Linked DNA regions of Oreochromis niloticus. The protein of the gene in region 1 interacts with the protein of each later gene in a biochemical or structural test. Links are inferred from orthologs where the notes say so. Each region holds a gene or a part of one and is shown in the gene's direction. Other genes may lie near its edges.

Evidence for each region.
Region 2: the proteins of nppb (region 1) and npr1a form a complex in vitro, tested with the Homo sapiens proteins (2 studies listed by BioGRID). The link is inferred for Oreochromis niloticus from reciprocal best matches to the Homo sapiens genes NPPB and NPR1.

What each region holds. Positions count from the first base shown.
Region 1 is NC_031984.2:35,529,934-35,536,151, reverse strand, and holds nppb (natriuretic peptides B), read left to right. Parts: upstream 1-4,545; 5' UTR 4,546-4,637; coding exon 4,638-4,751; intron 4,752-5,139; coding exon 5,140-5,425; intron 5,426-5,508; coding exon 5,509-5,525; 3' UTR 5,526-5,703; downstream 5,704-6,218.
Region 2 is NC_031985.2:34,509,243-34,516,132, reverse strand, and holds the start of npr1a (atrial natriuretic peptide receptor 1), read left to right. Parts: upstream 1-3,873; 5' UTR 3,874-4,220; intron 4,221-6,890. UniProt on the Homo sapiens protein: Receptor for the atrial natriuretic peptide NPPA/ANP and the brain natriuretic peptide NPPB/BNP which are potent vasoactive hormones playing a key role in cardiovascular homeostasis.

The sequences.
Region 1 (6,218 bases):
TTACTATGGCTGTCTTCTTCTGCTTGTCGACCACCACTATGTCCGGTTGGTGAGCCATCACCATTTTCTCGATCTGTACCTGGAAGTCCCACAGGATCTTAGCTCTGTCGTTCTCCACCACCCTAGGGGGAGTCTCCCATTTTGACCTTGGGACTTTCATTCCATACACAGCACAGATTTTCCTGTATAGTATGCCAGCCACCTGGTTATGGATCTTGAGCTGAGCGCTTGTTTCTGTGCTGCCATAATTAGTGCCTAGTTCAGCCACTGGTAGAATTTCTGGATTTCAGCCACTTCCTCTACATACCGTCTAGGGGCCTTTCCTTCCATGATGACTCTTCCTTTTGCTCCGCTTCTTTCTTGGGTTTCTGTTGCCAGAGTTATTCATTAAGCAAGTGGTCAGTTGTTCCCATCTTCCTGCAGCTTTCCTAGCAGCCTCTTCATGGTTCCTATTTGGCTCTGGGATTCCCAGGTACTTGTTCTTATTTTAGTGTCTGCAATGTTGCCTTCTGGTAGAATGATCTCCTCAGTTCTGACTACCTTCCCTCTTTTTGTTACCATCCAACTACACTTCTGCAGTCCAAACAACATCCCGATGTCATTGCTGTAGATCCTCACGGTGTGGATCAGTGAATCGATGTCTCATTCACTCTTGGCATACAGCTTAATATCATCCATGTAGAGGAGGTGGCTGACCACTGAGCATTGCTGTTATGTGTTGCATCCTTTTCCCATATGCTCTTCCAGCACTGCTCCATCTCAAGCCTTGGTGGTGGCGTTCTCATATTGTTCTCTTGCCACTGAGAGTACACCTTGGATGGTTCTGTGGAGAACAGCTGGTTTATTGTCCTGCCCTCTATCTCTCCGGTGTACCTCTTCAAGAGGCTGGCCAAGGCTGTGAGTCTTTGCTTGGCAGTTTCCATGGCCTCAGGTATGAACAGCTTGCTGTAATTCTTAGGCACCTTCTTCATCGCACCTTTCTGCAGTTCCGATAGTTGGCTAACCTCCCTCCTGGCTAACTTGATCCTAGCCTCTGTTCTATTTCTCCACGGAGGGTACTGCTCCTTGTGGCTATTCATTTTGTAGCCAAGCATCTCACTGATCACTGCTGCCGTGGTGTAGATCAGCTGGTTAGTCTCGGTAATGGTGGCAGTAGGTATCGTCCGTAGTGCTGCATTCACATCATCTAGTAGACCTTCAGAGGGTACTTCACTTAATCTCGTCAGGTTGGTACACAGCTGACAGCCCTATTTGACAACTGTTCAATTATTGTCAGACCCCTAACAAGATGGCGCCTGTTATTGGCAATGCCACTGTCAGGGTCTCTATTTTTCTGTTTTTTATGGCATTACATATTTTGCTGCTGTCTGTGTATGAGATTACAGCTACCTACGTTTAAACCTTATTTCAGATTAAGTTAGCAATGGAGTCTATGGATGAAAATGGGAAACACTTTGGAGGCTTCCCTTCACCATTTGGGCGATCAGCTGTTACCCATAACCTCCAATGGTTGCTTGTGTTATGCAGACTCTTTCCCTGACAAAGAGTCGTCAGGGGAAGTGAGGAAGGAGAGTGGGCATCCAAGTGAGATTACAGAAATACAAGAGTAGCGGTGATTTAGCGTCCTTCTTGGCGCTCCCGGTGTTGGATGTTTTAGCTAAAACGGACCTCCAGCTGAATGTATGGCTTCTCCGCAGAGGTTTTGGCAGGACACCGTGTTTGAGACCAGTTTTCCCACACCATGTGAGTGACCATTTCATTGTCCCACGGCTTATGAGAAACCATATGAAGTCCTGGGGAGTGTACAGGGCACACTTGCACCAAGCCCCTTAGGATTTAACCAGAGATGCTTCAGCCTGGCCGATTAAGACGACAATATTAAACTCCTGTTCAATCTCAGTGAATAGCATTGTCTCTCCTCCAACTCCGTGTACACCTGTCTTTTCAGATATGGATTGCAATGACTTTTAAAGATTTTTCCAAGATAAGATCAACCTTAGAGGAAACATGTCTCCCTTAGATAGCCCCTTCAACTGTGATCTCCCACACCCCATAATTATGGAATCTTTTCACCCAGTTTTGTTAAAAGATCAGAAATACTAACTCAAATGAAACCCTCAACAAGTCCAGCTGATGTCTTACCTACTTCTCTGTTTCTTAAAGTTTTTGACACCACTGGGCTCTCTCTGGTCACATTGAAAAACTGTTCCCTGCTACCTTGCTCTGTCTCCAGGTGCTTTAAACAGGTGGTTATTCAACCTCTGCTGAAAAAGCTTAACCTGGATTTGACACTTCAGACAAGCTACAGACACAGCTCAAAACTTTTTTCATTACTACAGTATCAGAAAAATCATTTGGTCACAAGTAAAGAAGGCACTGGAGAAGGATAATATTCTTGATAACTTTCAACTGGGTTTTAGAAAGTTACACTCCACAGAAACAGCTCTCATCAAAGTCACAAATTACCTTTTGATGGCCGCAGACATGGGTGACCGGTCAGTCCTTGTTTTATGGGACCTTAGCTCAGCCATTTACTGTTGATCATCAGATCATAATCTACCGCTTAAATCATATGGTAAGGATATCTGAATCTGTCCTAAAATGGTTCCCCTCATTTCTGGCGGATATAACACTTTTGGTTTCAGTAGGAAGCTTTCAGTCAGATGAAGCTGAATTTTCATGTGGAGTTCCACAAGGATCGGGTTTAAGCCCCTTGTTATTTTCATTATATATTCTGCCTTTAAGCCTTATCATTAGTAGTTCCAAAATTATTTCCTACCATCTGTATGTAGACAATATCCAACTGGACATCTCCTTTAAACCCTGTGAATTAAACAAATTAGCTGTTCTAATGGACTGTCTTAGTGCGATTGATGGTTGGATGACAAACAAAAGACTGTGTGTTTAATTCTTGCTCCAGAGATTATCAAGCCCTAAATCAGGCAACATCTGGGTTCTTTCTCATCCACGGTAAAAGCTAATGCTCGGAATCTCTAGTTAATTTTTTTTTTATCAATCTCCGTCTTTTGATATTCATATCAATTCTGTGACCTGCTCTCACTTTTTTCATTTAAGAAATATCGCCAAACTCATGAGTATTGTCTCCAAAGGTGAACTGGAGATGCTTGTTCATGCCTTCATCTCCTCCCGATTAGATTATTGTAATGCACTCGATTACTGGCTTCGCTGGCTGGCTTCGCTGCCAGCCTCTGTCACACCAGTGGCTCTGTTTAGATGATGGGCTCCTCTCCGGCCCCAGCCACTACTGGAATAGGTAATGCATGATTAAATGATGCTTGTCGGTTGTGAAGATCAGCCTCCCCTGCATCCACACCCTGAACCCGCTGCTCCACCCCACCACTGCTGGATTCACCTTCTTATTTGGATTCAGGGCTGAACCTGCTCTCATCTGCAAGGAAATTTGAGGTACCAATGGTAGACCTGCTAGTTCTAGTGTTTTCTGGGTCCATTCATGACAGTTTTGTCTGAAAAATGCACTAGTGGCTCACTGGTGGTCATTTTGTAGGACTCTGGCAGTGCTTCTCCTGCTCCACCTTGCCCCAAACCCAAATACTGTGATGATCCTTTCATTTTTTTAGAGGAGTTTATTCTGAAGTTACTTTGTTTACAAAAAAGTGAGATTTTTGTTGTTGTTGTTATTAATGAACTTATTGTTTTTCTTGTTTGTGTTCATTCAATTAATGAGGATTCTGTGACTTGGTGGTCCAAATGATACTGCTTCAATAATAAATACAGTTTTATTTATTTACACTTGCCAAAATCCCAGCAGTGAGTTTGACAGTTACTATAACTGCATGAAATATAAAAGACTTCCTGTACTTGTCTGTGTGAAAGCAGAGCTGAGCAACATCAGTCTTTTAGAGACAGTACTTCACCTAAATTCATAATCATTTAATTCACTGCTATATTTGATTAAAGTTATCACAAGGCAGTGACTTGTGAGTGATATGTGTAGTGTTTTGTTTTTCCTTTGCTTCTCACAGCAGGTCAGCAATGACAGTTCAGTTTATTCTCATACATATTCTGGATGCAACATCAATTCAAGAAAACACCGACAATTAAAAATGTTGTAATTATCCAAAGGTGACAGACTTTAAAATACGCTTTCAAGAAAAGAACATTAGGCAGTGTAAACATCACATCAGCAGATTGGACTCCTCATTTTTGCCACTATTCCTGCCACTAAAAGATGATCTCTCAGAACAATTATCAGCAGGCGACCGTACAACTATTACATATGTGTCTTCATTTAGTAACACTATCATGTTGTCACATTAGTTTACTACTTCCTGTAACTCAGTGACAACAGTGTCCCGTGTGAGGTGGGAAGGCTCTGGAGAATGTTTCTCAAGCAAAGTAGCATATGGAAGCAGCTATGTCATAAGAATACTAGCATACAATGCTTTAAAAGGAGCATTTTCCGACAGCTCGTGTTATCAGAATTAGGTGTCAGGCATGCCGGTCCAATTCCTGGCATACCTATGTGTGTTAACCTTAAGTATAAAAGAGAGTGCTGCTGTTGGCTCCAGCATCCAAACACCTACAAGTCAAAGAAGAAAAAGAGAATTTATCCATTCATCCAACTACTAACACGAACAGCAGCAACTCAGAGCATCATGCGTCTGTCTTCTATGTGGCTCTGTAGCCTCCTTCTCATTTTAAAGCTGCAGCTGACTAGCATGTATCCCATCAGTACTGGCTTGACTGACACTGACATGGACATCTTGAAGGTAAGTCTCCTCACACTAACTTTTTCTTGAAAAGGTTGAGTCTGCCTGGGAATTTTAGGCAATCTGTAGCAGCAACCAGAACAAGGAACTCAATTTTATTTATAGACTTTAATGTTAGTTATTCACGTAAGATGTTGAACAACATCCTGCATTTCCTTCCATAGCTGTTCCCAATATTTAGCCTTGATATCTCATGTGATAAAGCATAGAGTCTGATCATTTTCATCTTACCTGTGCTCCAATATTGCTTCTAATAATCTCAATAAACTGAGACATAAATTGTTGACAAATACATTTGAGTGCCTCTGTCTATCCTCATGGCATAGTTAAATTGCCATGTTTATTATTTAAGACCCAGTACAACTTTCATCTGTGTGGATCTTTAAAGGTGCTCCTCAGCAGACTGGAGGAGTCTGTTTCAGAACAAATGGCAGTGGACCAAAGTGCCCCTGGACAGAGGGATCTTCTAGACAGCCTGAGCACAGAGGACGCAGGAGATGGACCTCAGCCAGACGCTGGACTAGATGAAGCTGAAATCCGGGAGTTTCTTTCAGCCAAGAACCTCAAGAGTGTCCGCAATGATTCATCTAGGAGATCTTCTGGTTGCTTTGGGCGACGGATGGACAGAATAGGCTCCATGAGCTCTCTGGGTTGCAACACTGTGGGAAGATACAGTAAGTTACAGTAACTTCACTACAATAAGGTTAGAGTAATGTAGCACAGATTTAACTCTTACTCTCTTACTCTTCTCTTGCAGATCCAAAGCAAAGATGAAGTCTTACCATCTAAATTCCAAAACTGCAACGTCTCTACACAAAGATACTTTTATTTAAAGGCTATTTATTTACTAATATTTATTAAATACTGTTGCTCAGCAGAATATTTAAAAAAAATGGAACCAAAACTGTTCCTTGTGTACTGTTGAATGTTTTAATAAATGTTTACAAATGCAGGTCATTGGCCCTCATCACTGACCATCAGACACAGCCAGCATATTTCAAAAAGACACTAATGTACGGGAGACTTTTCCTTTGAACTGTCAAATATAAAAACACAAACTGAAACATGTAGTGTCGTCTTAATGAAGAAGCTCTTGTCATTCTGAGTAACTAGCAGGAGCAGGGAGCTCTATGCAGGACGTTTATATACAGAATTCATTTGATAACAGATTTATTTTAATGTCTTCATAAAAAAAATGATCTGACACAGACCGCGCATGAACATTAATGAATATCCTGAACTATTTATTGGTGATAATGATTTTCCATTCCCATTTATTTCACTGCCAGTGCATTACTGGTGATCAGCTGAGTAGTTTAGTGCATACGGTCTTAGCTTGGCACCTGATTGTGTCTTCGAGGTTGTTTAAAGGCTTTCTAACAAGGAAATGATGTACAGTGAATTACAGTACAGCTGAGCACTCCATCATCAGTGCTCCACTGATTAAAGCTACAATTACATCATCAT
Region 2 (6,890 bases), on another chromosome or scaffold:
GTACAAGACTGGAGATCCTGTATGGTATCTCATCAAAGGAACACGTCACATCAAGAATAAGGTCAAAAAGTTCCTCCCATCGTATGAAGGACCATTCTTTGTCCTGGGGCAATTGGATGACCTGGTTTATCGGATCCAGAAGAACCCAAGGTCTAGAGTGAAAGTTGTCCACCATGACCAGCTAAAGCATTATCGCTGCTGCGAGCCCCTGGACAATACCTGGGTCCTTGATCAAGCTCATCAGTGGCCACCTACGGAGGTCCCACCACCAGCTTTAGAGGATGACCCAGCAGACCGTGATCTGGGTCTGCACAGTCTGTTCTCTACTGCAACTGGCAATGGCCCCAGCTCCTCTCAGCCATCTGTCTCTGTTGCAGCTGATCCCGCTCCAGTTGTGGTGATCCCATCGGCACACAGGACACATTTCTGAATTTTTCCAGCGTTTTATTCTTCCCAAAACATTTAAACATTCAGAAATAAATAATTTGGTTTGATAAAATGTTCTCATAAGAAAATGAAAAACTACGGAAATTAAAAGGTGCACAACTTTGTTTAAATTAAAATTAAAAATTTAGTTCATAAAAGAAAATTATATTTTTTCATTTCATTTTCCAATTTTCCTCCCACACTAATGAAGCTACTGAGTACGAAGTTCTTCAGTTATTACATTAAAAGTACCCAGTGCTGTTCATTATTGTAGCAGTGGGGTGAATTTAAAACTTTTCTATCAAACTGTTGCCATGTTTTGTTGTTTTCATGGCTCAGTCTGGCTACTTTGATTGATGTAATGTAGTGACCTCAGAGAAGAGCAGCAGAATGAGTGTGTACATGACAAATGGTTTTACTGTCTGTTAAAAACTGCAAACACAAGTGTTTGCAGTTTTGCAGACATGAGAAAGTGTTACCAGAAACACTTTCTCATGTCTGTGTTTTTTTAAATTGGAAATTTGAAGACGAACAAAAGGAAGTAAAACAACATCATTAAAGCTCGTCAATCAGTGCTTTTCTGTTAATACTCACTCAGTTACTGTCACCACTGGTTTTGGTAACAAGCTCACAGCTTTGAGCCGATTATGCACTTGTTCTCAAGATATGTCCCCCTCATAAACCTTTCTGGTAGCAGCTATCACAACCACAACAGGCAGAAGAAGATTTTTTTCAGCGTTAGATTTCATGCAGTTTGCAGTAAATTGTTTACCACAGACTTTTGATCACACAATTGTGAATTACAAATATTTTCCTCCTGAAAGTAAAACTTACAAATCCATTTGACATAAGGCTGCAAAAATCCTCCTGTCCACACCTTTCAGTCACAAATTGACTCTTAGCTTCTTCAATAATTCCAGAAGCTTTGTGCCGTTATATAACTCAACTGTGTCCTGTTTCGGCTCCAAGCCATGGTCAGCATCATGTTTCAGTCTGACTTAATTTTTTCTGGGCTCCACAAACAAAAGATTCCACAAAACCTTTCAGCTGAAAAACTTTATTAACAAACAACATTGGGCTGGTAGCAGCTCTGTGTGAAAAAGATGTGGACTCCTCTGGCTGTCACAGAAGCTCTTCAGATGCCACTCATATTTTTGTTTGTAGTGTCTCACCTTTTAAAGCAGTTTTTGCTTTAGTGCCTTTTGGATTTTCTGCTATCGTTTGAGTGCTTGATGTGCTTAGGATTGGTTTTGCACAGAAGCGGTGAAAAGACTGCACACAATATGCGAACGTCCAGATGTCACACTGTTCCTGCTCTGTGGGCTTTGTTGTTGTGGAGGTTTAATCAGTTTCCTGTGACAAATGTTCCCTGTGAGATTAATTCTGTGTGATTATATCTCAGCAGACAAATAATTTCCACAATTTCTATAAATATGGCTTTTATTTCAGTCACTATTTACAGTGTTTAAAAAAACACTAATCCCTTAAAAATAAATAAATTATAAAATAATCTTCAGAGGTACAAAACCATCACCTGCTGAAAAAATCAGATAGCCCATAAGCTGGACAGGGAAATGGTGTGTCACTAATTTAGAAGATCTTCATTTAGCCTGGGAAAAGAGTTTGTTGTTCTGTTTTTAAAAAAAAAGCCGTCCATAAAGTTTGAATTCATTCATGTGTTTATGCTAAGTTTGGTTTTCAGATCTCCTCGTTCAGGAATAACACTCATCCTCACAGCAGAGTCAGACCTGAGCCTTGGCACAACTTTGTGTGCCGACTGGACACTAAGAAACCGTTAACGGTGACTGAGTGCTCCTCTCAACTTGCTGTCTGCTGTCTCCTGTTCCAGGGTTGGATGTTCATATTAAACATGTTTCTACCTCATGCTCCTCCAACCACTGCCAGCATCTTACACTCAGCGAGCGCTGTGCAGGGGCGCCTCTTGAATTTTTTCAATGGATGACCATATGGCGACCACTAAAAATATTGGGGTAGCACACCAAAACAGCGCAGGGGTGTAGCAAAGGTGAGGAGGTTATGACAGGAAATCATGAGGGACATACAAAGTGACACAATACGAATGGCAAAATTGTATATGCAGGAATAAATAACAGGTTAATGTTTCAACTCATTGTAGGCTGTCTTCCTCTCTCTTGACCTCATGTTTATTAAAATAATACCAACATACAACAGCCTTGCTAGGATGGGCCAGTGTCCCCCCTGGCCCCTCCTTGTGGTGACCCTGGCTGTATGATGTCAAACAGAGAGGATATCCTCACAGTCATCTCATCATAGTTAGTTTACCTGTATGAAGGAAGAAAAAAAATGATAAAGTTTCTATTTTCAGATCAGCATTCACTTCATATGGGAATCACAATATCCCCGTATGAAGCTGTGCCTTCAGGTGTACAGTTCAGTCCCAACCAACAACCACAAATCATGTTTTCAGTAACTTCACGTTGTATTTTTCTCCAGTAGCCACAGCACAAGATAATACTTACAAGGTTCTGTTGGCAGAGAACAACCAATCAAAAGAGAGGAACAGGGTGCACTATAACCCAGACACAGAAGGATTATTCTGAATACGGAATCATGCAGTGTCTCTAACAGAATCAAGAATAAAAGGAGGAAACTGCTCACCTTAACTGTATTTACTGACTTTCTTTGGAGTCGACTTGCTGTATTCAAGTGTGACCTTTACAGTTAAATAAGAGAAACATTAATGTGTTTTCATTAACAGGAGAGAGTGGGAGGAAGGTAGGATACATGTGAGAAAGAGAGCAAGAGAGTCCGAGTATGAGGGTGGGTGGTGATCATTTCCAGGAAGAGGTACAGAGAGGGAGAGTTTGTGTGTTTCCAAGCGACTTCCTGGTATACCGGGTGTATCCTGTTAAAACACACATACACACACACGCACACACACACACACACACACACACACACACATTCTTTGGTTCTCTATGTATGTGTTGTGCATTAACTTTATGAACAATAACACACTTGCAGTGTGACGTCATGTGTGGCTGTTAATGAACTTTAAAATCTCTCCTTGCAAAGAGGTCAAAGGTCAGCAGTGAGTTCAGAGATGCTGGAAGTTTGATGAGAAACTGATCAGTCATTTAACTTGTTAACTGATCTTAGATAATTCTATGGAAGTTGAACTTTTACTGAGCAGAAGGCAGAAACACGACCATCTGTCTATAATCCATAATCACCCTCACCCACAGTCATTTTACTCGGGGTTCAATCAGACTAATCAACTGACTAGTACCGGTATCCAATCAATAAAACCAAGTGAGTAGCTGCAGGCGGCCACCAGGGGGCTCCATATCCACATGCTCACGTCAGCAGAGCGGCTTTATCCGGATTTATATAAAGTTTTTGATTAAAAGTAATATTTCAGTCTATCAGCGTGCGCAGAGCACGGCAAGGAGGGAGCGGGGCACTGCGAGCACACATATATATAGCATGTGTCACTTTGGTAACTGAATACACGTAGGTTCAAGCACGCGCTTCAGTTCGCGTTTTCAGGACTGCCCTCTTACCCTCCACACCCCCTCAGCAAAACTTGCGTGTGCGCGCACGGCGGGAGGCTGGATTATTACCGGGATGGTTTGTGAGCGCGGAGAAGCGGAAACGCGCCGGCAGTAGCGGGGCGCGAGCCTCCGGTGAGCCTCCGGTGAGACGGAGTTCCCACCGAGTGTTCACGAGGCGTCCTCCGCCGCGCGAGCTGCAGCTGAAAACAGCTGGATGTCATTCTGCGGACACACGGAGCTGCGCTGAGCGCCGAACAGGTAAAACAACGTCAGCCGCTCCTCTATTGATGAACTTACACAGGAGAAAGGCGCCGCGCGTTTAGCGACCAAGCAGTTAATCGAGTAGAAAGTTGTTTTTAGTTCTTCTCTTAGTCTCTGTCCTGGTCACGCTTTCAAATGAACGAAGACTCTGATTTTCCTTCTTCATCTTAACCGAAGTCTATCTGCCTTCAGACACAACAGCCCACCACTAAGAATACATTCAGTTCTACTTGATTTATACATCGCCAAATCACAATAGCAGTACCCTGCAATAAAGCAGTGAAAGCCAGCAATCATTAGGCACTTGGCGACACTGGAAAGGAAAAACTCCCTTTGAACAGAAAGAAACCTTCAGTAAAACCAGGCTGAGGGAGGGGCGATCGTCTGAGAGACTGGCTGGACATGAGGGGACAAAATATTCATAATCGATCGCGAGAATGATACATTTGGCATCCACGAGATCATTGACTGTTTTACATAACAATAGTATTATTATTAATAATTAAAATCATGTGTGAAGCACACAGACACTCAATGGTCAGATGGACAGTCACCTCAGAATGAAAGTGAGAAACTGTTTTTTTTTTTTTAGTCTGAGGTTTGATGTGTGCACAGATCCTGATCCTAAAGAAGCTGAAAGTTTAGAAACAGACCTCAATGTTGACAGCTCTTTGTTCCCTGAGTGATGTGTTTGAGTCTCACTGATGTTGCAACAACACTTATATAAGACTGAAGACGGGTCGGGCAGCTGAGTGTGTTTTACCTCCATCTCTGGAAAGTAAAGTTTTCATCAGCATCAGAAATCCTGATGTATTCAAAGACACTTCAGCCTGACTGAAGCTGGCCTATACTTCTTCTTCCTGTCAGATTTCCTGCTGCCTTTTCTCACAGCAGCCTGCTTTCACAGATTTATTCATGTGCTCATGTGTATGGAGAAATGTGGTGATTAAAGTCTGATTTTGTGTTTCCACATACAGAGAAGCTATGTACACATTTCAACATCACTCATCATATTTCTTTGCGTTACCTCCCACCATTTGGACAGACCCAGAAACACACGCTGCATTTGAAAGCTGGGATATGAGGGGGTTTTAATGGATTCTTGAGTTTAAAGAGGGACCTACATTTTGGTCAACAGCTCAACAACAGGTGTGAGTCATGTAGGCTGAAAGCCGAAGAGACCAGATCATCTGTACTCTAAATGTGTGGAATCATGAACAAATTAACATGACCATAACAACCATAACCCTTTACTTAAAGAAAATGCAATAAGGGAGATTTCAAAGTTATTAGGGAGTGCCCAATTCTGTTGATCTGGACGTAGCGTTTTCAGTGGTAGAAACATTTCGTCACTCTTGATCAGCTGATCAAGAAACTGACCTCACAGCCCATTGTTCACCAGTGGGGTTAGTTTGAGTCATTATGCAAATGTATGTAAAAGATTGGGGAAATTTACAGCTGAGACTGAAGAAGTCACTTGGATGAGTGATGAAATGTTTCTCCCACTAAAAACACCAGGTCCAGATGAATGAGCATGCATCAAGACTTATTACGGAGTGGTTTTACTCATACAGCACAGCTGATGAATTTGGAAGATAAGTGGCTCAGGAATGAAGGGTTTGACATCCCTGGTGCAGATACTGGTACTGCATCTGAAGCATGACGCCAATGCAGAAGCACTCAAATGTCCAGCAGGGTGCAACTGCTTTGGTCTGATTATACAGAAGTCTAGGGGAAAATGAGCCCACTCCTCACCTGATCTCCGACCTCATTACACACTTTCCTGATGAGTTCATGATCTCAGCCCCTAGTTTCAAATCTATCAGAATCAGAATCAGAGAGACTTTATTTATCCCCAAGGGGCAATTAAGATAGATACAACAGAGCAGCATGACGTTGAAGATAAGGACAGGGCATAAACAGGCAATAAGAATGAGATAATAAATACACAGAATATACATTATATACACTTTTAAAATTTCACCGTTTTAAAATTAAAATTAAAGTGACTGAAGTGACTCTATCCATCCATCCATTTTCTTTCACCCTGGACTGGTGACCAGTCTATGGCAGACCTGGTTTCAGTTCTTACTGAATAAAACATCAGGTACATTTTGGAGCTTATTTATTCACTCTCCTTGAAATCCAGTCATCCCTGGAGTGCATTTGATGAAAGAGAGCCAATTAAGTCAAATGAAATGATCCGAGCTGTCAAGTTGCTATAATGCGAGTGGACTGATTCAAGACATGTTCGTTGTTTGGAACAGCTGACGAACTAACGCTGACGCCGCTAACATTGTGTTATCTTTGACCTCTGCTTACCTCATTCCTTGTATTTTATGGGATGAATTAGTCCTGTTTTAGTATTTTTTTTTAATTTTTTTTTTTAGTATTTTTAATTCTCTCCTACCTTGTTAAAGCGACTCAACTCAACATTTTCTGCATTTGTTTCAAATTAAAAGCCCTCTTAGCTTTGCAGTACAGAAACTGTATGTCCATATGTCAGTGAGACTCTTATTATGGAAACCCAGACTGCTTTTATTTGAAGAACTCCGGAACATAAGTGGATAAACCGTGCACATGTGCTTCCTCACACAGGTGTTACTTTGTCACAGCACTGTATAAATGAGAGACAGAGAAAGATGACAAAGGCAACACAGGTAGAGC